Ovis aries: one gene and its partners. The protein of the gene in region 2 interacts with the protein of the main gene of each other region in a pairwise test. Links are inferred from orthologs where the notes say so. Each region holds a gene or a part of one and is shown on either strand. Other genes may lie near its edges.

The links.
Region 1: the proteins of E3 ubiquitin-protein ligase TRIM69 (region 2) and ASNS interact in binary tests that used the Homo sapiens proteins (3 or more experiments, as listed by UniProt). The two-hybrid records come from large-scale screens. The link is inferred for Ovis aries from reciprocal best matches to the Homo sapiens genes TRIM69 and ASNS.
Region 3: the proteins of E3 ubiquitin-protein ligase TRIM69 (region 2) and NEK8 interact in binary tests that used the Homo sapiens proteins (3 or more experiments, as listed by UniProt). The two-hybrid records come from large-scale screens. The link is inferred for Ovis aries from reciprocal best matches to the Homo sapiens genes TRIM69 and NEK8.
Region 4: the proteins of E3 ubiquitin-protein ligase TRIM69 (region 2) and IYD interact in binary tests that used the Homo sapiens proteins (3 or more experiments, as listed by UniProt). The two-hybrid records come from large-scale screens. The link is inferred for Ovis aries from reciprocal best matches to the Homo sapiens genes TRIM69 and IYD.
Region 5: the proteins of E3 ubiquitin-protein ligase TRIM69 (region 2) and FAM110A interact in binary tests that used the Homo sapiens proteins (3 or more experiments, as listed by UniProt). The two-hybrid records come from large-scale screens. The link is inferred for Ovis aries from reciprocal best matches to the Homo sapiens genes TRIM69 and FAM110A.

The regions. Positions count from the first base shown.
Region 1 is NC_056057.1:16,017,248-16,022,448, forward strand, and holds the start of ASNS (asparagine synthetase [glutamine-hydrolyzing]), read right to left. Parts: upstream 3,113-5,201; 5' UTR 2,757-3,112; intron 2,180-2,756; 5' UTR 2,106-2,179; intron 1-2,105. Other genes in the region: C1GALT1 (glycoprotein-N-acetylgalactosamine 3-beta-galactosyltransferase 1), read left to right, coding at 3,503-3,509.
Region 2 is NC_056060.1:101,155,528-101,160,445, reverse strand, and holds the start of E3 ubiquitin-protein ligase TRIM69, read right to left. Parts: upstream 2,998-4,918; 5' UTR 523-2,997; coding exon 154-522; intron 1-153. Other genes in the region: E3 ubiquitin-protein ligase TRIM69-like, read right to left, coding at 2,998-3,149, 3,931-4,457.
Region 3 is NC_056064.1:20,097,995-20,103,043, forward strand, and holds the start of NEK8 (serine/threonine-protein kinase Nek8), read left to right. Parts: upstream 1-1,937; 5' UTR 1,938-1,976; coding exon 1,977-2,023; exon of another isoform or gene 2,024-2,649; intron 2,650-4,108; coding exon 4,109-4,314; intron 4,315-4,538; coding exon 4,539-4,771; intron 4,772-5,006; coding exon 5,007-5,049. UniProt on the Homo sapiens protein: Required for renal tubular integrity. May regulate local cytoskeletal structure in kidney tubule epithelial cells. May regulate ciliary biogenesis through targeting of proteins to the cilia.
Region 4 is NC_056061.1:75,315,312-75,320,348, reverse strand, and holds the start of IYD (iodotyrosine deiodinase 1), read right to left. Parts: upstream 3,113-5,037; 5' UTR 3,088-3,112; coding exon 2,916-3,087; intron 1-2,915. UniProt on the Homo sapiens protein: Catalyzes the dehalogenation of halotyrosines such as 3-bromo-L-tyrosine, 3-chloro-L-tyrosine, 3-iodo-L-tyrosine and 3,5-diiodo-L-tyrosine.
Region 5 is NC_056066.1:59,933,213-59,938,125, forward strand, and holds the start of FAM110A (protein FAM110A), read right to left. Parts: upstream 3,113-4,913; 5' UTR 1-3,112.

The DNA of each region.
Region 1 (5,201 bases), on a different chromosome or scaffold from region 2:
TTAGAAGTCACATCACAACGTTTCTACATTCTCTTTATGAGAACAAGTCACTAAGTTCAGTCCAAATTCTAGGTGAGGGGAATTAAGCTCAATTTTTGAAAGAAGTATCAAAGAACTTGTGAACATATTTTAAAACTACTATACCAGTAGTTTTAATTTAATTTATAAATTCAATTTATATTAAATTCTAAATAATTTATAGTTTTAGAAGTTTAGTTGCTCAATCATGTCCAACTCTCCGCGACCCCATGGACTGTAGCCTACCACGATCCTCCGTCCATGGGACTTTCCAGGCAAAAGTACAGGAGTGGGGTGCCATTTCCTTCTCCAGAGGATCTTCCCGACCTAGGGATCGAATCCAGGTCTCCCACATTGTAGGCAGATGCTTTTACCGTCTGAGCCACCAAGGAAGTCCATTTAATCTATACATTATTATATAAATATAATTTATAGAATTTAACCTAATTATTACTAAAGAGTTGTTAATCTAATTGTAATATTTGGATATTTAAAGGAAAACTAAGTTTATTAGAGAGTCGTTTTTTGCTGTTGCTTGTTTCCATTTTTTGTTCCCATTTTCATCTTACCCTGTTTATTAAAAAATTCTACCTAGAGCACTAAATAAATCATGATTTTTCCTATCTTTTTATGCCAATTAGGAATTTTATTCAGTGCTTATAACAAAAAACAACAAAAACCTTAAAGAAAATGGATTTATTTTCCTTCATATAACAACAAACCCCTTTATATAACAATAAACCCAGAAGTGAGCAGACCAGGGCTGATAAGCTGACCCTTCAAAGCAATCACAAGCCAGTCCCTTTGGCTATGCTACTATTTTGTTACTGTGGTTGAAACAGGGCTGCTCCACATCTAGCATCATATCACTGTTCCAGGTAAGATAAAGGACAGGTATAGGTCCAATGGCTAACAGAAAGTTTCTTCCATAAAACTTTGAGCCTCTATGAGTAACATCTACTTTCATTCTATTGATAGGTCACATGGGAAACCATGGCTTATAGGAGCCTGAGTAAACAAGTATTTTTAACTGGACACAGTCGCCCCGAAAAAAAGTCAAGAGTTCTCCAAGTAATAGAGAAGGGATTTTGGTTTAATCAGCTATCAGTGTCTATCACTTTGCTCCAAGGCGCTTGGACACACATTCCTGAAACACACTCCAGAGAGACAAACACACTGTTCAAGGTTAATCTGTGTTTCAAATGGGAAAATCTGGTCATTTTGCATCTCACATATAAATCATATTTTTCAAAGTAACCACAGCTTTCTTTTTTTCTAGTTAATAATGAAGAAAAATTGGCTGACATTAATGTCACTTCAAGGAATTTATTCAAGAAGACAGCGGTACAGTTGTGCAACGGTACATGCATTAAGAAACTCATCACAGAGTTGTTTAAAACAGTAAGCATTTGGGGAAAAAAACAGAAATGAGCCAATAGAATACCGGTTAGATAAACAATGGTACGTCCACTTCACACTAGGCAACTTTTAAAAATGATGTTATTCACGATATATTGTTCATGAAAAAAGAACTGTGTACATGATAAAATCCAGTTTATCATACATTGTATTTCTATACCTTTATATGTTTTTATTCTTAGAGACGTCTGGAACATAACATGAATTTTAAAAAATTGTTCTCTCTGAATTATGACATTTGGAAATTTTTTATATTTGTTTCAATAAGTGTACATTGCTTTCATGAAAATAATAGCTATTTCCAATAATACCTAGAAGGGTAGGAGGGGCCTGATTTGACGTGGTAGTTCTATCAACATACCTCTATGCCACTAAGAAAATTATCTTAGACATGCTGTAGCTGAGCTTACCCTTGGAAGGGTTTCCTGTATTTGCTCACTGGAAAAAGATTATTTCTTATTCCTTATAAATTTTAATAAAATTAAAATAAGAATCCTGAAGCATTTTGTTTTATTTTGCTTTCTATTTGGTACACTTTGACCTCGAAGGGTCTCTTTTCCCTGTCTCACAGTGGCTGTGGAAGACAAAGAGGGTGAGGCTGATCAATAATTATATACAGGTTGGGGGAGAGAGAACAGATGGAGGTGAGGATCCAACAGAGCACTAACCTGGATATCACATACTTGCACTTCTCTTCCAAAACAGGCTTCTCAGTTTATCTTTCTGACCTCAGTTTTCTCATCTGAAAAAATGACAGGTTTGGATAAGAATCTAGATGTTTTAAAGTTCTTCCCAAAGATTCTTTCGGATTTATTAATGATATATCCTGGTAAACTACACTAAAGCTGAATCTAGACACATAAAAGGAAACAACAACAATACTTTAGTTACATTGTTTATTATTCCTCTCCAGCGTGGTAACCAACTTGCCAAGGTTACACAGCTAATAGGTGGCGGGAATCAAGATTCCAGCCCAGAGGCCAAGGCACTTAAGAACTGCCTAGGAAGCAGGGTAGTTTTCTCACCCTCAAACTAGGCTTTGTTAGATACCACCAGTAAAGTCAGACTTGATCCCACCTCCTGACTGCTGTGGGACTGCCTCAATCGCTCGAGGGCTCCTCGCTCTCTAATCCCAAAACAGTTTTCTGATACAACTTTGCCAACTAAAGGTGAGACGGTGAGGTTTTGGAGAGCTCCGAAGAAACTTCGGGCCACTGCCTGGCAGTGGAGAAGTTATCACAGAACCAAAGACCATGTGTGCCTTCAGGAGGCTTTGTGGTAGCATTAATTGGGTTCTCAGCCCCTGCTCATTCACATACCTGGTTATCCAACACTCGTTTGCGTACCTCATCTTGCGTGTTTCCTCTCCTTAAGGCCAGAGAGGTACTGAGTTGAGAGTCGGGAGGAGGGGATAACAGGGGTAAAAAGAACAGTTTAAAAGCAGGCTAGAGGCCATAAGACTCCTGAAAGGGAAGAGCCTGTCTCTTGGACAAAGGTCCCAAGGGTATTTGCAGCCCTGGTCCCTGATGTTTCACTGCTTTGGGCCCTCTCAAGGTCCGGAAGCTAGTGCAAGACCCTTCAGCAACGCGAGGAAGGTGGAGGCCGCCACCGAGGTGCCGCAAGCGGGCTGTGACTACCCCTCATAGAAGATCCGACTTCCCAGACCCCTTCGCACAAGGGCGGGGCGTGCGCTCGGCCGCCAATCCCCGCGCCCGCACGTCGCCGTAGCCCCGCCCCACCCTGCCCCCTCTCGCTCCGCCCTTCCCTGGGGCTGGTGCGGCGGCGATGACGTCAGCGCTAGGAGACCCCTGGGTGGCGGCTGCGCCGTCGGCGGCCCGCGGCCGGAACGCGCTGCGGGGAGGGGCGGAGCGAGCGGGCGGGAGCGCGCGCTGGGCCCGCCTCGGCCGCCGCCGCCGCCGCTGCCGGGGAATAATCTGGGCGGCAGCGGGCGGCCCCGGCCAGCAGCCACGAGCCACTTCTGCGGCTGCCGAGCAGAGCGAAGGTCGCCGGTCTCGTGTCGTCGCCCTCTCCGCCCCCCTGGAGGGGCGAGAGGGAGCCGAGGCTGATGTCAGGTACGGCCGGCGGAGGCGCCCTCAGGCTGTGGGTCCAAGGTCTCGGGTCCCCTCGCCCTTCCCTCTGGGAGAGGGAATGTGGGGGGAGCGTGGAGGGTGGAACCCCACCCCTGGCGCCGCCAAACAGGTGTCTCGGAGTCGCTGCCGGGTCTGGGGACGTGCGGGCTCCTGAGGGGCGCGCGGGGCACTTCCTGCTCCCGGCGTCTCCGCGAACTGCCAGTGGGGCCGCCTGCCCGCCGGGCCGCTATTTTGTTGACATGTAACCTCCTGTTAGTCGCAGGTCCTTCCCTTTCGCTCTCTGGTGCCCCTCGCCTCTTCGCGCGCCGCCTGCCGTCGGGTGGCGACGGTGAGGCGCGGGCTGCGCTCCGGACCGCGCGGCTGGACCACTTAGCGGTCCTGCCCCGCCGGGCCCTCCCCCCGCGGAGCTGCGGGCGCTCAGGTGTGGGCACCTTCCAGGAGAGCCGCCGGGCTGCCGCGTCGCGCCAGCGCCCAGCGAGCCGGAGCCTTGCGCAAGTGCTGGGGGACTTCCTCTGAGCTCTCTGGATCATCAGGTTTGTCTGGCTGATTTGTTCTTTTTAAATTCCCCTGCCCCTGACAGAATAAGCTAGGCAGGTGTGTTGGGGCATTGCTCCGTGAAGGACGCGGGACGAGTTTTTTCCTTCCCGCCTTCCTCTCCCGCCAGGTGCGATGGGATTAGTAGATGCTGACAAATTGACTTTACAGCTTTGAATTTGGATACATTGCCTGCTCAGAAAATGAACGAAATGTGGATGTGGGGATTTATTCTTGCCCAGCACTTACCCTCTCTCTTTATTATTATTTTCAAAAGACTGGAATTTAAACATCACAGGCCTTGGAAAAGTTGACTGGATTTATAATCTGATTCTCTCAGTGCCTTGTAGTTATTGTGGTATATCGTTTTAGAGCTTTTCAGATTGAACCCTATGATCCTAACCATGAATTTGTTTCATCCTGGTTTTAAAGCTTAGTTAAAAAGTTAGAACTTTAATGCAATAGAGTGAGTAATTAGGCCAATGTGAAACAGACAGAAATGTGTTCATTTACCAGAAATTGGGCACTGATAGATAGCTCTGCCTGGGTAACTTCAAGTTATTTAATTCTGGTGTTAGTTTAGAGGGTGGGAATCTGAGTATTTAGGAGGTAAAACTAACTTTTTACACTTTTATCAGATAAATGTCAAATGAGCCTTATGTACATGATGTGTGTTCTAAGTATTGTGTATCATAATTGTATTTATTTCATTTTTTGCCAGCCTTAGTGTATAGTAATGTACAGTTTAATTGAATGTAAAGTTTCAAGCTACCAAACAGTTAACTCTTTTTACCATATGTTAAGTGAGACAGTGATTTAGTAAGGAAAGTATGACTCACTTAAAATTCTTCACAGGAAAAGTGTGTGGTTTTTTAGTTACGGTGGATAACTATTAGATGTTTCTCTTAAATTTCCCTGAAATTTGTGTTTTTCTGTATCTTTTTATTTTGGGTTCAGCATTTTAAAAATATTTTCTGGGCAGTACCCATTTAAAGATAGATGTTCCCTTACATATGCTTTTGGGGGAGGGGGGTATTGATTGTACTAGTCTGTATTTCTGAGTAAATTCAGTATCCAGAAATTATTAGAATATCACAAAGTCATTTAGGAGTACATATCAATTAATGATCACCTAGTCAT
Region 2 (4,918 bases):
AAAAGGAACCTTCTGCTTTTCTCCCAGGGAATCTTAAAATCACTACAGCAGAATTTTTTACCCTCCTGGAAGGGAAAATCTGCTTGTACATTCTTTCCAACCCTCTCTTCCCCCCTCTGTTGTACCCATAGTCATGTCGGTGTGGAGTCTCACTTTGAGAAAGTCGAAGGGGTTCTGCTGCTCCATCCGTCCCTGGATGCTCACCAACATCTCCTTGGCTAGGAGACACTGTTCCTGAATGTGGCTCAGATTCAGCTCCATCTCCTCATTCAAGGCTTTCCCCTCTTCTCGGAGCTCACTTAAAAGGTCCTTTTCTTTGCTGTGCAGGAACTGATGCAGCTTTAGAAACTCCAGGGAGATGTGTTGCTGCAGATGTAGCTTGTTTTCCTGGAAACCTCCATGATCATCACCATGGTAATTACTGAGACTAGCATTTAGGGATGGGGGCCCACACCACCAGCACTCCCACAACTTGGGAAATACCATAACAGGAAAACGCATGCAAACACTGCATATCAACATCCAACTGTACTAAAAGGAGGCCTTTGGGAAACTTACTCTGTCTTTCCCAGCTAGTTTAATAGTTAGGGTTGGAATAGTCAAAAGTCATGTCTAGGTTCCTGTTGCAAAACTGAGGTGGTAACCAATGCCATCTTAAATAAGACTGTGGGGTTAATCGAACACTTTTAAATGAACAATAATACCCTTTTATCCACAAGTACAAACCAGTATCTACCAAGGGATGCTGTTAGACTGGGTCCAGAGGAGGCTGGAAGAACTGCCCTTTTTCAAGAAATCAGAACGGAGGAGGCACCATTCCTGCTGCCAGGACAATACAAAAGAAGCCAGAGATGGGTGGTGTCTGCAGCACTTGAAATCGGTAACCGTTACACTGGCAGCTCTTTCCCTAGGTGACTTCAGCTTCCTCATGGGCAAGCCATCTGGCATCCTGGCTTCTCAGTTCCTCATCATCATTTCTAGTGATTTTTACCTATATCTACTCATTCTTTTAGTCACATTGAGGGTTTTATCTTCCTCGGCAATTGTACCATCCCCAGAATTACTTTTTATGTTTGCTTACCCAGGTTCCACTGTTGCAGCAGTTATTGGATTTCATAGAATCCTCCTATTCATTGACCCTCCGTTTCTGTTCTTCAGCTTCTCTGTCTTCATGTCCCCTCTTATCCAGCTTATAGTCTGTGGTCAAGCACTGTAATTGTACTCTTTAAAATAGTCTTAACTCTCACTGTCCTCTAGGTCAGACATTTCCATTTTTCCTGTTACCTATTTCACCGCTATTTCTCAGTCTCATTTGTTAGTTGTGTCTCTAACCAAGCTTTGAATATTAAATTACTTGATACTCTGTCCTAGGCTCTTTCCCTTTCTCATTCTACACTCTCGTTCTCGGTAATAGCCTCTGCTCTCACAACTTTGAAGTGCAGTCTGTACGCTGACCTCTTATTTTCAGCCTAGACCAGCTTCTCAACTCCAGGTCCATACATCCGGTTGTCCATTTGATATCACCACTCGCCTCTCACATCTAATCGGTCACCACATGCAGGCAGTTTTTCTTTCCAAAGCATATGTTAAAGCCGTTTATTTCTTTCGGTCTCTACTGCCATTTTAGTCCAAGCCATCATCGTTCTCTGGGACCACCTCAGTAGTCTTCTTCTAACCGTTATCCTTCTTATTGCCTTTCTCCAGTCCACACTCCACACAGCCACCAGACTGATGCTTTCAAAATGAGATGAGACCGTCCTGTTTAAACCCTTTAATGACTTCTCAATTATGCACAGAATAAAATTCAAAATTCATGACATTATCTACAAGGGCCTACATGATTGGGCCTTATCTGCCTTTTTGGTCTCAACTCGCCTACCAAGATCCATCTTAATTGGCCTTCTTTCTGTTTAACATAGTAACTAGCTTCCTGTCTCAAGAACTTTTCTATAACGCTCTTTCCTCTTCATAGAACATTCTACAGGCCATTTCCTTCATATTCCCCTCACCCAGTTCACTTGGCTAAAGATAATACTTATCCTTTCAATTCTCAATTTTTAATAAGAATTTTTAATTTCAATTTTTAATAAGTGACCTCTTCAGTCTAGATTAGGCTCTCCATTTATATACTCTAATATACTGTATATAATCATTTATAGTAATTATCACAGTGATGTTTCATTATTGGTGGGATTATTTAATTAACATCTGTCTCCCACCATAGTTGGAATACAATATCTAGCATAATGCTGCACCACTCAAATATTTGTTGAATGAATGAGTGTTGACTGTAATAGCTGAACTAAGAACTCTTACAACAGGAACACGATTCTCTTGAGACATCTTTATTTCCATCTAGCCTTCTTCTTTCCCTCATTATATTTGTTTCTTCTTCCAGATGCCAAATGCCAGAGAAGACTCTCCTCTGTAGGATAATTAATGAAGAAACAGAACTCCCAAATTATTCCCCCAGCCTAGGAACTGATTTGCCAAGTCCCTAACCATTAATGTTGCCCTAGAGCTCCTGTGAAGTTGAAAGTATAAGCAGTAGTTTTATTTAGTTTGGGAGAAGCTAAGAAGGATTAGATCACAGAGAAAAGCCAGCAGTCTAAGAGACCTTGGTTCAGAGAGGCCTGGTTTTAAGCCCAAAGGAAAGAAAGTTATTTCTTTGAACATCACAATCTTTAGTGGATTTTTTAAAAATGAATTCCTTATTTTACGATAGATAATAGGAAAGATCAGACAGATCACAGCCCCAGAGCAATCACCTAGGGACTGCACCATGAAAAGGATCAGCTTATCTAGGGGAAAGGTCAGTCTGCTCTCTCTGTTGATCAGCTATTGGGAACCTACTCCACTGCCGTATTTCTTTCCACTCTACAGTGTCTGTTTTCTACTTCTAAGGCCAGATGCCATTTAGCATGTTGTTGTATATGTAAAGGTACCTTTCCACCCACATAGCTGAAGTTACAAGGAGGGTACAAGTCCAGTTCTGTCTCATGACCCCTCTACCCTGCTCCTCACCTTGTGAGCAGCGATAGCATCCTTCTGCATATTCTTCAGGGACAGAAGCTCCTTCCGGGCTGCCTCCAGTTGACCCTGATGGATGGTAAGCTCCTCCTGGGGATACCATAAAGAATTAACCCATGCTAATTGGGAGATGAAGGGCCATGAAGAACATCTACCCCAAAGCCCCAGGGTGTCAGGGGGAAAGAAAGCAAGCTCCCACTACAAAAGTTTCCTTTTCCCTTATATGATAATTCCTGTCTCTTCCAAAAATTGTGAAGAAAATTACAAACTGCAGAAAAACTAAGTTTTATCTTCTTCTTAGCTAACTACAGGGCTTTGAGGAAGATAACAGAACTCTGTACACTTTCTACTATATTTACACTGTTCTTGCTATCTCTACTTTTACTTACATTGTTCTCAGAACACTCGTTTCTTCCTTCTACCCATCCAAATTCAAATAATTGCCCCCCCTTCAAGCTTTCTTTCACCATGCCTCCCCTGACTATTTCAGTTTTCTCTAATCTCTGAAACAAATGTGACAAAAATTTAGCTCTCAACAGTAGACTGTCTTATATCCCTTCTGTTGTTTTGTTCACTTTAAACTTGACTGCATTTCAAGACTTCAGTAACAAAAGCATTATTTTACATGTCCATGTTCTGTACAGTGCCTAGTAGAATGCTGTCAAGGCAAGGTTCAGGTAAATGTTTGATTGATTGAGGAAGTAGGCCAGAGCTCCTTTACTGCTTCCCTATAATTGACAACTACAGAGAAAGAACTTTGCAAGATACGTTGTATTTTTTGAGCACTCTGAGCTTTCTAATAATCACTTGAATGAGGGGTGGTATTGAAAGAAGAAGTCCAACAGTTTTTCCCAGCCTTCCTAAGGAATTGCTCAAGACTGTTCAAGACCCAGGGCTCACCCACCGTGAAGAAACGGACAGCATCAGAGATCTGCAGGAATTCTTTAGACTGCCCTACAGACAATCGAGCATCTTTGCATTGAAAGCATATTAGTCTCCCATCTGGCTTACTGAACAGTTTCAGGTTCTCTCCATGCTCTGGGCACCGTGGATGGCCCTTGAGCAGGGGTAGCTTCTTAATCTTCTCTACCAGCTTCTCCAGTACAAGATTAAAAGTACAGTTGCTGTATTGACATAACATCTTACACTCAGGACAGAATGTTTCATTTGCTTGCTGCTTCCAAAACTTTTGGATACAAGATTGGCAGAAGTTGTGGCCACAGCTTAGCATTAGTGGATCACAAAACCAGTCATTACACAATGGGCAGTGTAATTCCGTAGTAATATCTTGTATCTGCACTTTGGAGGATATTTGGGTGATCACATCATTCACTTCAGCGTAGCTGTCTGAGTCAGTTTTGGAGGAGAGGTTGGAAGATACCTTTGAAAAAGAACAGCTAAAATGAGTTTCTCTTTCTTGTTGCCCACTTCAGGGTAGTGGGCTCTGTTCCTAAAGGAGCTGAGAACTGGTGCAGCCAGAGGAAAAGCACTATCGTCTCTTCTCTGAAAGTGATCAGTAAACTCAGTGTTCTCTAACATCAGAGCTCATTCTACTCCCAGCATTATTAGACTTAATAGAGAACCAAGGCAGAAGACGAAAGAGCACCCAATCAAAAAATGTATTTCATTGTATATCACTTCTTCCACTCCCTTTCTCCTTATATCAGTCGAAAGTTTTACTTTAAACATCTGTTCTATTAGTTATTACCTTTCATTTTGTTTTCTAGAAGTCATGTGCAAAGAATTGGAAGATCAGTCAGATTCCTCAGTCAATGCCATGTCATCAACCATAATATCATCCAGGCCCTTCACCCTTCCTTTTTAAAAAACACACTCCAGAAAGAACATTTTACAGAAAATGTAGAATCATAAGGGTACAGATCAATGA
Region 3 (5,049 bases), on a different chromosome or scaffold from region 2:
CAGCCGGCTCTTGGGCTCCTGGGGCCGCGCGGCACTCACAGTCCTCCCTGACAGTCCCAGCTCGCTTCTCCCCGCTCCCTTCTCCCCGCTCCCTAGAGGCTGGGGCGGGGAAGACGGCCGATTTGCCCAGGCCGCTAGAGTGACTCTGCAGCCCAGTGGACTGGTGCAGATGCAGCTCGTGACCACAAGGTGTCAGCCTATCCTCACCATGGCGCGGGATCCCCTCCCACCGCCAAAGAAAAGAGGTGATTGTTTTGGGTGGAGAGTTAGCCAGACTCCGCAAACAGAAGGGCGGTGGAGAGCTGGGGGTGGGGCGGAGGGGGCGGAGGTGCTGTGAGTGGGAAGAAATATCAGAAGCCTTGAGGCGCCAAGAGGTTTGGTTGTTTGCTCTGTTTCCCCTGCTGACTCCAAGGTTACACATTAAGCCCTCTGGGGCTCCTTGGTCAACCCAGGCCTGATCGGTTTCTAGGTGAGAGCATGGAGTGTCCCGGCTGAGCGGTTTTCCCCCTTGCGCTCCCCTTTGCTCTCAGGGCAGCTTTGTCCGCCAGCCACACCGGCCTGAGCCAGACGGGGATTTCGGGGTGGGGGGGAGGGGGCTGCGTCATGAGGGGCCCTTCTAGTGGTCATCCCGCGTGGATAAGTTTGGGCACCCTTTCAAGGAGCAGAGTAGGAGCTGAAGATAAACACCCCTTTTCTCACATTCCTCGCCTACTCAGAAATAGGGACGCTGTCCCTTAGCTCATCACCATCCTTCCTGCTTCCTTAACTGAGCTTTTATGGAGCTATGGAGCTCGTGAAGAGCTGGAGGCGCCATGGAGAGACCTGAAATTGAACACACTTCTGATCAAGACCTTAAACAATTGTACTAACCAGCCCCCTACCTCTGGGCAGAACCCTTGAACTCCTATCAGCCGAACGACTATCTTTCTCCCTCTCCCCGATTCTTTCAGGTAGCAGTCCACTTCCCTCCCATCTTCTCCCAAGGAGGTCCTCTCTAGTTGAGTGTTGAAGTCAGATTACTCTGCTGCAGCGGCAAGTGTTGTATGTGTGCTCTGGGAAATTGAGAGTGTTGACGAACGCAGAGCTCACCAGTCGGGACAGTCCGGAAACCGTCTTGCGTCCTCCCTAGGTGAATCAACTTATACAGCTCAGGGTTTCCCGGGGCCCTCCCTTGGCAAACACGAAACTAGCCTTGCACCCTGCCCACAGACCGAGAGCGCTGACTCGGTTCAGTTTTGGTAGTTGATCGTTTGCGTGCTAATGAGAATCTGCCCTGTACTTCGAAAACAGAGTGATTAGTGGGCAAAGCGGAGAAGGCAATGGTACCCCACTCCAGTACTCTTGCCTGGAAAATCACATGGACGGAGGAGCCTTGTAGGCTGCAGTCCATGGGGTCGCTGAGTTGGACATGGCTGAGCGACTTCACTTTCACTTTTCACTTTCAGGCATCGGAGAAGGAAATGGCAACCCACTCCAATGTTCTTGCCTGGAGAATCCCAGGGACGGGGGAGCCTGGTGGGCTGCCGTCTATGGGGTCGCACAGAGTCGGACAAGACTGAAGCGACTTAGCAGCAGCAGCAGCAGTGGGCAAAGACTGGGGCAGAAAGAGATCCGTCCTTTCTTCCCACCCTCTCTTGGCCTGCGCGGGGAAACCCTCCGGTCTAAGGAAGAACTGCAAGGGCAGGATGCGGCCACGTGTGTAGGCAGCGGCTGGTACAGTGCTGACCTTTGCGGGGCGTGCCAAGAAATGGCATATCGCCCTATTCTTTGGACCCTAGAAGGCCAACTGCGGATCCGGACTGCAGGAAGTGCCCAAATGAGCAGAGACAAATAACAGGCTGAACCAACACCTAGCTCCACTAGCTCCGCCCCGTAATTATCTTGAATGGCAGTGGGCGTGGTTCTAGAGAGGGCGGGTCCGCGCACGCGCTGCCTTTGGGTTTGGGGGTTCCGGAATTGTGACTCTGAGAAATGAGATGGAGAAGTACGAGCGGATCCGAGTGGTGGGCAGAGGTGCCTTCGGGTGAGCCAGGGCTCTGGGGGAGGAAAGTGCTTGGGGAGAGGGAAAATCAGCCCCCTAATTCTGACCTCAAAATCGCAGCCCGTGTAGCCCCGCCCCGAGGCGTGAGTGCCCACTCCGGGAAGCCCCTCCCGGCTTCCGGTTCTAGTCCTGGTTGGGAAACTCCGCCTCCAAGGAGGTCACGCCCCCGGCCGGCCTTCGCGGCCCCCGCAGAGTTTGTTCTTTTATCCTGACTCATTCATTCAACAAATGCTGAGCGGCTGCTATACTCGTCAGGCTTTTGGTGCTGGGTATATAGTAAAGACCCAAACAGGCGTGGTCTTGTCCCTCTTGGAGCTTACATGCTACCGGAAAAATATCCTATAAACAGAACATTGTTAAAGCAGTGATTAACAAACTGTGAGAATAGAGCACAACACGAGGGAGTGTTCATTTGGGATGGTTAAGGAAAAGTTCTCTGAGAGGTGAAATTGAAAATCAAAACTTGAGGAATGAGGATCGATACGTAGTGAAAAAAGCAAAGCTTCTCAGGCGAAGGAAACAGCTTTTGCTAACGTCCTCACGTGGGAAAGAATTCAGAGTATTCAAGGAACTGAGAAGACTAATGTCATTGGAATGTAATGGGCAAGGTAAATAATGGAATAAAATGTGATTGTCACAGAGGGCGGGAACCAGATTATGGCCTTGTGTGTGTGCGCATGCATGCTAAGTCACTTTAGTTGTGTTCCACCCTGGCGACCCCATGGACTGTGGCCCTCCAGGCTCCTCTGTTCATGGATTCTCCAGGCAAGAATACTGGAGTAGGTTGCCATGCCTTCCTTCAGGGGATCTTCCAGACCCAGGGATCCAACCCCCGAAGCTAACTCCTGCATCTCCTGAGTTGCAGGCAGATTCTTTACTGCTGAGCCACCTGGGAAGTCCCTATGGCCTTGTAGGCAGAAGTAAAGAAGTTGAATTTATTTACTTAGGGTGTCAAGGAAAAGAGATTTAAGCAAAGGAATGGTCTTGATTTGATTTGCATTTTTACAATGTCACTGACTCTGCTAGTGGAATTTAGATTTGAGGTGACAACAGTGAAAAGGACCATTTGAAGTCTAGTGTAGTATTTTAGGCAAGAAATGATGATTTGGTCAAGGATTATAGCAGAAGACAGAGAAAAATGGATGAGTTCACAATATTTTGGAGGTAGTAGAAACAGCATTTACAGATATGTTACTGTGAAATGGAAGAAAAATTCTGGCATGATTTTCGGGTGTCTGACTTTAATAACTAGTGGATGGTGTTACCATTTATTGAGACAGGAGGAACTGAGGAAGGAAAGGTTTTGAGGTCAGGGATCAAGAGTTTTGTATTTGTTACATTTTAGAATGCTTGTGGGCCATTCAGGTAGAGATACAAAACAGATAGTTGAATATGTAAGTCTGAGGCTCAGAGATGTCTGAGCTGGGGATAGACATTTGATACTTAGACAATCCTTGATTCAGCAGATACTTGTAGAGCTCTTACTAAGTGCTGGGGTGTGCACTAGGCTATGCACTGGGGCTATAGTGGTGAAGGAGAAAGAACAAAACCCTGCTTTTATGAACACTGACTACAGAGTTGGGAGAAAATAATATAATGAATGGCTCCTGCTCACTGAGTATTTTTGATGTGCCAGGCGGTGTGCTAAGTGCAGAACTTGCATTTTCTTACTTGACCCTCTCAACTACCTTGTGAGATCGACCCTATTTTTTCCAGAACCTGATGTCACATAATTTAAGACCAGATAACTTGTAAGAGGAGGAGCCAAGATTTGAACCCAGGCAGTTAACTCCAGAGTCTGTGGGGACTTACTGAGACCAAGACTAACTTTACCTCATTGAGACTATGGTGAAACCGAGTCCCAGATAAGTTAAAAGACTTGCCAAAGGTCTCGCACAGTTTGTGGTCTGTTCTCCCTACTCCTCACTCGTGTTCTGTGCACTTACTTAGATGACTTCTTAGTGTAGGTGCTGATTCCCCCATCCTAAGAAACATCCCGTCGCCAGCCTGACCTGCTTGATATGTGGCTGGAGACTCAGTCCCTACTCCTGTACTCCGTGTCCTCAGGATTGTTCATCTGTGCTTGCGCAAAGCTGACCAGAAGCTGGTGATCATCAAGCAGATCCCCGTGGAGCAGATGACCAAGGAGGAGCGGCAGGCAGCCCAGAACGAATGCCAGGTGCTCAAGCTGCTCAACCATCCCAACGTCATTGAGTACTACGAGAACTTCCTGGAGGACAAGGCCCTCATGATCGCCATGGAGTACGCACCAGGTGGGACAGCCTTCTTGCATTGGCCTGAGGGCCTCTCGCCACTGGGACAACCCCGCTTCCCTCTCTGGAGTGGGCGTGGCTGAGGGTCCAAGGTATATAGAGTTCTGACCCCAGGGGTGTGACACCGGCAGACCTTCTTTGCCCTGTCTGAGCCTTTAGTTTCATAAAAGGAAAGACTCAAGCACAGAGAAGCCTAGGTCTTGATGAGTTCCCTGTGGCTGCAGGCGGCACCCTGGCCGAGTTCATCCAGAAGCGCTGTAACTCTCTGCTGGAGGAGGAGACCATCCTGCACTTCTTTGTGCAGATCCTGCTGGCACTGCATCACGTCCACAGCCACCTCATCCTGCACCGGGACCTTAAAACCCAAAACATCCTTCTCGATAAACACCGCATGGTCGTCAAGATCGGCGACTTTGGCATCTCCAAGATCCTTAGCAGCAAGAGCAAGGCCTACACGGTGCCTGGTGCAGAGGGACCCTCAAGGGTGCTGGGGGTTTTGGGGGGCCAGATCTACTTGGCATCTCTGTCTCCATCCCTGCATCCCCAAGATCTTGGCCCCTGGGTCCCTGGCTGGGTGGTCCCGCAGGAGGAAACACTTTGGCCTGCTTTGGAGGGACGCTGTCTCTAAGTGGTCTTTGGGGCTGGATCCTTGGTCCTCCCACCCCAGCTGTAATAGCAGCCCCCTCCTGCAGGTGGTGGGTACTCCCTGCTACATTTCCCCTGAACTGTGTGAGG
Region 4 (5,037 bases), on a different chromosome or scaffold from region 2:
TATGTAGACAAGAAAAATCCCAACAAGAGACTGTGAAGTCTACACTTGGGGAAAATTTGCTCGTGGTTGCTGAGGCAGGTGCTACATGTTCACTTTATTCCTCCTTGTAAAGAATAGAGAATGAGAAGTGAATCAACAGGCAGAGAAGCAGAACGGGGCCGCACAGCTCTGGTATCTGGTCCCAACCATCAGGCGCAGGTCCCTGGTCCCAGGTCCCTGGTTCCCCACCAGCCACATTGATCCCTCTGTATCCCTTCAACCCTTGGGTCTTCAAAGCCAGTGGGTTTTTCTCAATGCACACACTACTTCTGATCTCTCAGGAAACGTTTAACTCTGTGGGCCATCTCCTGCCTGCTCTGTTCTGGATCATTCTTTGGAAAAGCCTGGAAAAGCCTTCTTTGTAGACCTGGGACTCTGGAGCCAGCCCCCGCTGGGTCCTGGCTCCACCACTAGCTGCTTGGACAGATGATTTAGATGATCTGAGCTCAGCTTCCTTATCTGTAATCTAGGGATGATAATAGTGCCTGCTCCCTGTATTGTTATGAGTCACCCTATGTAAAAATGACCTTGGATATAGAAAATACCTGGAAGGGCTTGTTACTAACCTGGCCCTTCTTCCCTACACCTTTTCTTCCAAGTCCATTCCTCCCAGGCAGTTCCTCTCATCTGAATGTGCTCCTCACCAGGTTCTCTCCTCAGCCTTCTCTTTAGCAATACCCTCTAGTGAATTCATTTTTTCCTCAACTTCCAAGCATCACCTTAAGCTAGTGACTCTCCAATCAGTGTCTGTGGCCTAGATCTCTCACCTAGAAACCTGCCTATCTTTCTGCTTCAATGTCCCACTGTTCCTTCAAGCCCAACACACCCTGCATTACACTCAACAGCTTCCCCTTTAAACCGGGTCCCCTCCCCTCACCTGCTTATGACAGTGTTGTTCTGATTCTTCCAGCCTCTAAATCATTGCCCTCCTCTTCCTCTCCCAGCAGCTAACTTATTGCCAGAGCCCATTGTTCTTCCTTGACTGTCCCTTGGATCCACCTCTTCTCTTGCATCACGCTATCCCCACCACCCTGCCCATTGTTACCGGAGCAGATCCTTACCCAGCTTCAAAGTGGATCTCCCCTCATTCAGGAAAGTGCTTCTCAGCTGGCATAGTTGGCATCCAGGGAGGAGAGTGAGAGATAGCCCTGCTAGGAGGCTGCCTGGGCTTGGACCCTGTGTGGTATACTCAGTGTACATGGTATAGCCAGTGCTACATGGCTTCCAGCATGGATTGCCAGCTTTGTACCCCACTCCCGAATCCTAAGGTTAGGACAACTCAAAACACACACACACACTTATACACATATGCACACATATACTTCCAGGTGGCCTCTTTTGAAGGGAGGGTGGAGCTTTATTTATTTATTTATTTATTTTTTTTGAGAGGGGACTGCAAAATCACTGCAGATAATGACTGCAGCCATGAAATTAAAAGATGTCTGCTCCTTGGAAGAAAAGTTATGACCAATCTAGACAGCGTATTAAAAAGCAGAGACATTACTCTGCCAACAAAGGTCCATCTAGTCAAAGCTTTGGTTTTTACAGTAGTCATGTATTGATGTGAGAGTTGATTATAAAGAAAGCTGTACACCAAAGAATTGATTGTTTTGAACTGTGGTGTTGGAGAAGACTCTTGAGTGTCCCTTGGACAGCAAGGAGAGCCAACCAGTCCATCCTAAAGGAAATCAGTCCTGAATATTCACTGGAAGGACTGATGTTGAAGCTGAAATTCCAATACCTTGGCTACCTGATGTGAAGAACTGACTCATTTGAAAAGACCCTGATGCTGGGAAAGATTGAAGGTGGGAGGAGAAGGGGACAACAGATGATGAGATGGTTGGATGGCATCACCAACTCAAGGGACATGAGTGTGAGTAAACTCCTGGAGTAGGTGATGAACAGGGAGGCCTGACATGCTGCAGTCCATGGGGTCGCAAAGAATCGGACACGACTGAGCAATTGAACTGAGCTGGTGCCATTACTACCCCAGCTGAGAGTCACTGAGCCTCTTCCAAGTCAAATCCAGCCCACAGAACCTCCTCAGACCCACCCCAAACACAGATCACTCAGAGCTCCCCAAAACCTCTCCCTGCCTGCCTGCCTCCTTCATCATCTTGTCTTCCTTGGGTCAACCATGCCCCCGCCCATCCTCAACATCCAACTTCATTTTCGCCCCTTCCCTGGTCAGCATAGTCCTTCCGTCTTCTCAGCATCTTTCCTAGCAGTTCTGTATTCAGGCTCCTTCTGTTCCCCTTAACCTTCTCACCCTTACTATTCATATTCTAGTAATCCACCTGGCCTGGTTCAGCCCTTCTGTAATGCCTTGCCAAGATCCTGAGCCTTCTCCAAACACCTTATCATCAGTTCCACCTGTCTCTTTTTTACTCTCTTTCAGTTGTCCATTCATTGCCTTGTCTACTGAATCAGACACTCAGCTTTGAGGACCACAGCCACTCTTGTCTGTAACCCACAGGGCTGCTATAATGAGTAGTAGTGAGCACTTACACAGCTGCCCTTTTTTTTATTTCAAATTTTTGATCAAAACCTGACTGCTTATCTCATGGCCACACCAGCCTGTGATGTGCCCCCTGCAGAAAGATTTTAGCAGCCAGTCAGGACAGGAGCTGGGGAAAGCCAGCCCTTCAACAGTGTTTTTTACTGATGATCCAGCTTTTTACTTGGTCACAGCAAACGACAAGCTGACACCCAAGAGAAATGATGTCTCCGTCACACACTAATTTGTTTGCACAATAGAAGTTGATGATAAAACTGACCTGCCTGCACTTATTTCTCTCCATAAGCCCCACCAGCCACTTGCCCTCATCGTAAAAATACAGAAGATGGGAACCAAGTGGCAGAGCCAGTGTCTTTACCTGCTTCCTCCTGGTGGACATCGGTGCTGTCTTTCAAGTCTTTATCTACCCAGGGATGAGCCTCAGCCCTAGGCTCCCCCTTCTTTCTGTCACTGCTCCCATCAGCATTTTTAAAGATCCACACCATCAAAATGCAGACGATGGCTACCAAGACTGGAGTCAGAAGAAGCATGGTGGTGAGACTGATCCTGAAGGGTGTCCATACTTCCCAGGCTGGGGTTTAAACAAACAGGGACAGGTGTGGGGAACGCTGGGAGATGAGTGAAGAGAGGGAGGGGTTTGCTTGAGGAAGGGACAGTGAACCTGCTGACTCCACGAGGACTTTGCCAAGGAGCAAAGATCGCAGCTGTGTGCATCAGGGTGTGTTGTGGGTCTGGCAATGCATGGGTGAGTGCACTTTTGTAAACTCTGTGCTCAATCAATGTATTCTTAGACAATCATTGCCAGGATTTGAGGATATACTTTAAAGCACTAGACCTTGCCAGCCATGGTGGAAGGTATTTCATCTTTCTCCTGTAGATTTTCTCTGAGAGCAATGTGTCTTCGACTGGCCTGATGCCAGGAGTCACTTAGTGTTGGCCCCTTTGAACCAACCTCCATTTCCGTTTTGAGCGGTTCCCAAATCTGGGATGTTTTCCTGTGGTTTTAGAGACTGGGCAAAGGATTGGCTATCTCAGGCCTCTCGTGCACATTTTGCCATATATATATATATATATATATATATATATATATAATTTGAATTCTTTTCAACCAGCATGTACTATTTTTTACTATTTCTACTTTTTTATTGTGATAAGATATAATAATATAAAATGTACTATCCTAGCTCTTTTTAAGGCTCTAGTTCAATGACAGTAAGTACATTCACAGTGTTGTAAACCCACCACCACTCTTCCAAAAACTGCTTAATCATCCCAATCAGGAACCCTCTAACCGTGAAGCAGTAATTCCCCACTTTCTCTTCCCACAGGCCCTGGTTACCTCAAACCCACTTCCTACGTTATGATTCTGACTGTCCTAGGAACCTTCTGTAAGTGGACTCATACAGTATTTGTCTTCTTGTGAATGGCTTGTTTCACTTAGCCGAAAGCCTTCAAGATTCATCCATGTTTTAATACGGATCAGAACGTCATTCTTTTTCATGGTTCAATTGCTCAGTCGTGTCCAGCTCTTTGCAACCCCATGAATCGCTAGCAGGTACTATATATTTTTATGGGGGCTTCTGCAATGGCTCAGCAGGTAATAAATCTGCTTGCAATGCAGCAGATGCAGGTTTGATCCCTGGATTGGGAAGATCCTCTGGAGAAGGGAATGGTAATCCACGCCATCATCCTTGCCTGAAAAATCCCATGGACAGTGGAGCCTGGAGGGCTACAGTCTATGGAGTCGCAAAGAGTCAGATACAACTGAGCACTCGGCACAGCACATGTATTTTTATACTTAAAAAATAGACACTAAATAAATGTTACATTTACAAAAAGACCATTACAATACAGTGCAATAAGTGCTATAATAGACAAGTATGCCTGGTCCCTTATTCCATCTGAGACAGGACAAGACCCCACGGAGGACATAGCTTCTACTGTCTCAACAAACTCAGTGTGACCTGGGACAGTGCAATTGAGGGAGCCTGCACCAGAATCTAATCTACACACTCTCCCTTCCTTGAGAAACTCTGCTACAAAAAAAAAAGTCAGCTGACCTAGACAGTGTGTAGTGTAGTGACATGGTTACTTTGCCTGAATTTCCATTCTACTGTGTGCTCATGTCTCATTTCATGACTGGTGATCAAGAGTGGATGGATTGGTCAGTCTGCAGACCACACTGTGAACATCTTTACTCTAGAGAACACATTTTCCCAAGACACACATATGAGTCTTTACTTCCAGCGCTGGTGCTGAATCTAATGATCCCCATCCTTGAATCCTTCTGCTTTAGTAACACTCCGCAAGTGTATTTGCAGGGTAAGTGAAATGAGGTGAAAGAGCACTTTCCAGGAAAGAGACTTTCCGGGATTGAGAGAGGCAACACCGTTTCTAATGATTCACACAAACAACCTGTCATCAAGCATTTCTATTAAGTACTTATTTAACAAGTGTTATATCAAGTATTCACACTAAAG
Region 5 (4,913 bases), on a different chromosome or scaffold from region 2:
GATTAAAATGGTAAACTGCATTTTATTAATACATACATTAAAAAAAAAAAAGAATAAGAAGGTTTAGTCTGAAGCCAGACACCTGGGATTCCAATCCAGCTCTAGGTGCAAGATATTAAACATCTCTTGTGCTCAGTTTCCCTTCATAAGGAGGAAATAACAGCAGTAACTACCTTACGTCATAGAATTGACAGAATTGAAGGAGTTCACACTTGTAAATTACTTAGCACACAGTAAGGGATCAAGAGGTGTCAGTGATTTCTATTCTTTGCTGAGGGGGCAGGAGGTGTGGTTTCTGATGTTTATCATTTTTATGACATTGTGCACTTCCACCTCACCCCTCCCTTCCACCTGCTTCTCCTTTTCCTTAGCAGAAGTCCAGCCCAGACTTCGGTGGAGACAGAGAGGCCCTCTCCTGCCCCAGAGGGAGCCAGGAAGGCTCCAGGCAGCAGAAGACTCCAGGACAGCTGCCAGGGCCAGAGACACCCAGCTGGGCATCCTCCAGGCCCACGCCAGGCCCCACACTATTTCTGGAGTTTTCCCAGATGTTCGTGCCCTGGCCTGCCTGCAGTCAGCCTTGCCCAGGGCAACCTTGCACAAACCTCAGGAAGAGAAAGGTAAACAGGCCACAGAAGCGGTGTGGGTGCAGCTGCCTAAGGCAGCAATCTCCCGTTTGGCCCACCAACTGCACACCTCCACCAACTCAGTCCTCTGGGCCTCAGGTCTGCACCTGAGCTTGCCAAATGAGGACAAAGGGACTCGCAGTGCAGACTAAGAGAGATACTGCGCGCAAAGCCTTAGGGAAGGGCCTGGCACACAGGATGCGGAAGGTGGAGTTGGGACAGACCCACAACCAAGCCCACTTCCTGTCCCGGACTGCCCTCTGCCTGGGCCGAAGCGCACCATCATGGCTTCTTTTCTCGGCGCAGAGATGTCAAGAACCTTGTCCAAAGTCACAAGAAAGTTAATGACAGATCATAGACAGGGCAGTGGTCTCATGATTAGATAAACAATCTATAATACACACATATTTTTTCAACCAGGTGATACATGTGCATGGCTTAAGATTCATAAGCTGTAAAGGAAATTAAAAAAAGAAAAACACCTCCCTCCACTCCTATCCCCAGCCACCCAGTTCCCCTCCCTGCAAGAATCATTATGATCAGATGGTTATATGTCCTTCCAGGGAGATTTCAGGCACATACAAGCAACAATGGACATATATTCTATTTTTTTTACACATAGCAACATGTTCTGTGCATTGTTTTCATTTATTCTTTCATTGAATAATATATGTTCTTAATATGTTATTAGCATGTTATTAATTATAATGTTATTAACAAAATAATATATGTTGTACTACATAAAGAGCCCATCAGTCCCTACCAATGGCCACTGAGCGTGTGTCTAGTCTCTATTAAAAACCACACTGTGGGACTTCCCTGGTGGGCCAGTGGTTAAGAATCTGCCTGCCAATGCAGGGGACATGGCTTCTACCCCTGGTAGAAGATCCCACGTGCCATGGAGCAACTAGGCCACAACAAAAGAAGCCTCCAAGTTCTAGAGCCCATGATCCACAGCAAGAAAAGCCACCACAATGATAAGCCTGCAACTAGAGAAAGCCCAGGCAGCAACGAACACCCAGCCCAGCCAAAAATAAACAAATAAATAAAAGAGTTCTCAGGCAGAGCCTTAAAAAACCCAAAAACCCCACACTGTGGGCTCACTGCACCTATATCATTCTGCCCAGAAGTGGGACAGCTAGGTCAGGGGGTGCATGTGTAATTGTGACAGAGATGAGGGACTGTGATCCAGGGAGTTGATCTCCCACCAGCAGAACACACAAAAATGATCAATAAATGTTAGCATTAGTCATTTTGATTCCTAGGGCTTTGGGCACCCCTCAGTTTCACACTGGAGGCGATTACCTCATTTACCTCACCCTAACCCTTCCCTGCAACACATTCCAGTCCGGGAAGATAATAAACTCGCTAATAAGTGAAATTATAGGACATTGGATGGGGTAAATGCTACTGAGAAAAACAAAATAGACAAGGCAGAGCATATGAAGTGAGTAAATATTTGTTGAAAGAATGAAGACTTGTTTTCTTTCTGAATTTCCAGAGCTCTGCTCCCTTTAAAGCCAGGAGACTGGTTTGGAGGAGAGAGGATAAATAATTCCCCTTGAAGAGATTCTAGACTCCCAGATGCTACAATTCTGAGTGTCTAGGATTCTAAGATGGAAGCCAGACAGATTGGGAACCAGCCCCAGAGTTGCCAAGTCTGACCATGTGGTTTTGGGCAAAGGGGCTTAACTTTTTAGAACCTCAGTTTGCCCACCTACGAAAGGAAACCCATAGCAACCAGCAGGTGGGGAGGGGGTTCCCCAGGAGGTAAGGCCTGGTGTAGGTCAGATGCTCTACCAGGAGCGGTCCTGGGCCCAGGACCAAGTCCAGTGTCTCTGGTGACTAGCGTCTTTGGCTGAGGGCTGTGCCTACCCTTTTGCCCAACCCGCAGTAGATTCCCAAGAGTCCTACAGCAATTCCAGGGCCAAAGCATCTGCTCCCCACCTGGCACCTAGCTCAGAAATGTCAGTCCTGCCTGAGCCACCCGTATCTTCTCTCTGAGAGGGAGAGCTCTGTAATTCAGAGCCCTGCAAGCTGAAGGATCTCAAGTGAGCCCCAAGTCCACCCCTGGCTTTCTGGAGAAATGAAGACAGATGGTGGGGAGAAGACCCCAGGCCGACGCTGGGGAGAGGCAGCCTGGAGCGGATGCAGCCAGGGCTCTCATGCTCCTGTTGATCAGAGGCTAAGAAAGCGACCACCAGTTACCTGTCAGGGTCTCTCAAGGCAAATCTAGAACTATTATGCTAGAGACTGCGAGATGGAGCAGAAAGATCTGAATCAGATTCTCTGCCAGACTTCGTCTTTCTGAGCCTCAGCGTTCTCATCTGTGAAATGGGGTACCCTCGTAGGACTCGGAGAGAACACGCACCGCAGGGGTGAATACAGCGCCCCCTTACACCCGGGTTCGCGCCCCGGACCACCCGTGCCCTCACAAGGAGCCTCGCCTAGGCGAGTCCCGCTCCTCCAGTGTGGGTCTTGAGGAGGCTGACAGCTCGGACCCAGTCAGGCGGGGAATGGCCGCACCCAACACGGCTCGGGAGGCCCAAGCCCCACGTGAGGACCCGCGGGGGCCTCTTCGGAGCTGTGCTCCGCACCCGAGATAAGCCGGAGAACCTGACTGTCCCAAGGTCCCAGACAGAGCGAAGGTCTGGGGGCACAGAGGGGAAGCGAAAACCCCGGGGCACCGGGGGAAGGGGAAATGAGCGCGTCGCTTCACCCCCCTCCCCGACACCAGAATGGTTTGCCCCGGACATCCTGATTGGTTTCTCGCTTCCGTTCGAACTCCGCGCCGCCCGCATTGCCAGGCAACGGCTTAGCTTCGGCCTGGCGTGGGAGCGCCCTGCCTTCTCAGTCCCTCCCCGCCCTTCAGCTTCCCGGTGGTCTCAGGTTCTTTGAGCAGCCCCTTTAGCTCAAGCGGCTAATTCTTTCTCTTGTTCACCCGGGACTTAGCTGATGGACGGAGGACCCTGGTGGGCCCAAGGGGTCGCTAAGAGTCGGACACGACTGAGCGACTTCACTTTCACTTTTCACTTTCATGCATTGGAGAAGGAAATGGCAACCCACTCCAGCGTTCTTGCCTGGAGAATCCCAGGGACGGGGGAGCCTGATGGGCCGCCGTCTCTGGGGTCGCACAGAGTCGGACACGACTGAAGCGACTTAGCAGCAGCAGCAGCAGTCCTGACTTCAGCTGACAGGCTATGTGAACCAGTGCAAGCCAGTTTTCCTGTCTGTTCCTCTAACTGCTCAATGCTGAGCAAGTTAGTGTGAAGATGGGCATGCCCAGCAGTCCCGAAATTTACTAAGGATGTGAGCGAAGATTAATATGCCCTGCGTTCTTTATCATGGCAAAATAATGAAAATAACTTAAGTGCTCAGTGAAAGGAAATTGGTTATATAAATCCATCCTGCGGAAGAACTGAATTTATTGAGGTTTTTATATATACCAGAAGCTTTGCATGACAAAACTCTCATCACTGCTCATGGCATAACCCTCTGATAAGTACCTTTAAATATCCTCACTTTTTGCTGAGGAATATTATACAGTCATTAAAAATGATATGATTAAAATATATTTAGCACTAAGAAAGATTGAATTTTTCAAAAGTATGTTTCAAAGCACTATGTACAACACAAATATGCATTAAATACATAATGGTAATATCACATGTACTATATTTACGTAATGGACTTCCCAGGTGGCCCTAGTGGTAAAAAAATCTGCCTGCCAATGCAGGAGACACAGGTTTGATCCCTGGGTCAGGAAGGTCTCCTGGAGAAGGAGAAAGAATACTCTAGTATTCTTGCCTGGAAAATTCCATGGGCAGAGGAGCCTGGAGGGCTATAGTTCATGGTACTGCAAAGAGTCAGACAGGACTGAGCACAATGCACATATTTCAGTTCAGTTCAGTTCAGTTGCTCAGTTGTGCCTGACTCTTTGCGACCCCATGAACCGCAGCACACCAGGCGTCCCTGTCCATCACCAACTCCTGGAGTCCACCCAAACCTGTGTCCATTGAGTCAGTGATGCCATCCAACCATCTCATCCTCTGTCGTCCTGTTCTCCTCCTGCCCTCAGTCTTTCCCAACATCAGGGTCTTTTCAAATGAGTCAGCTCTTCGCATCAGGTGGCCAAAATATTGGAGTTTCAGCTTCAACATTAGTTTTAGTCCTTCCAATGAACACCCAGGACTAATTTCCCCTAGGATGGACTGGTCGGATCTCCTTGCAGTCTCCAAGGGACTCTCAAGAGTCTTCTCCAACACCACAATTCAAAAGCATCAATTCTTC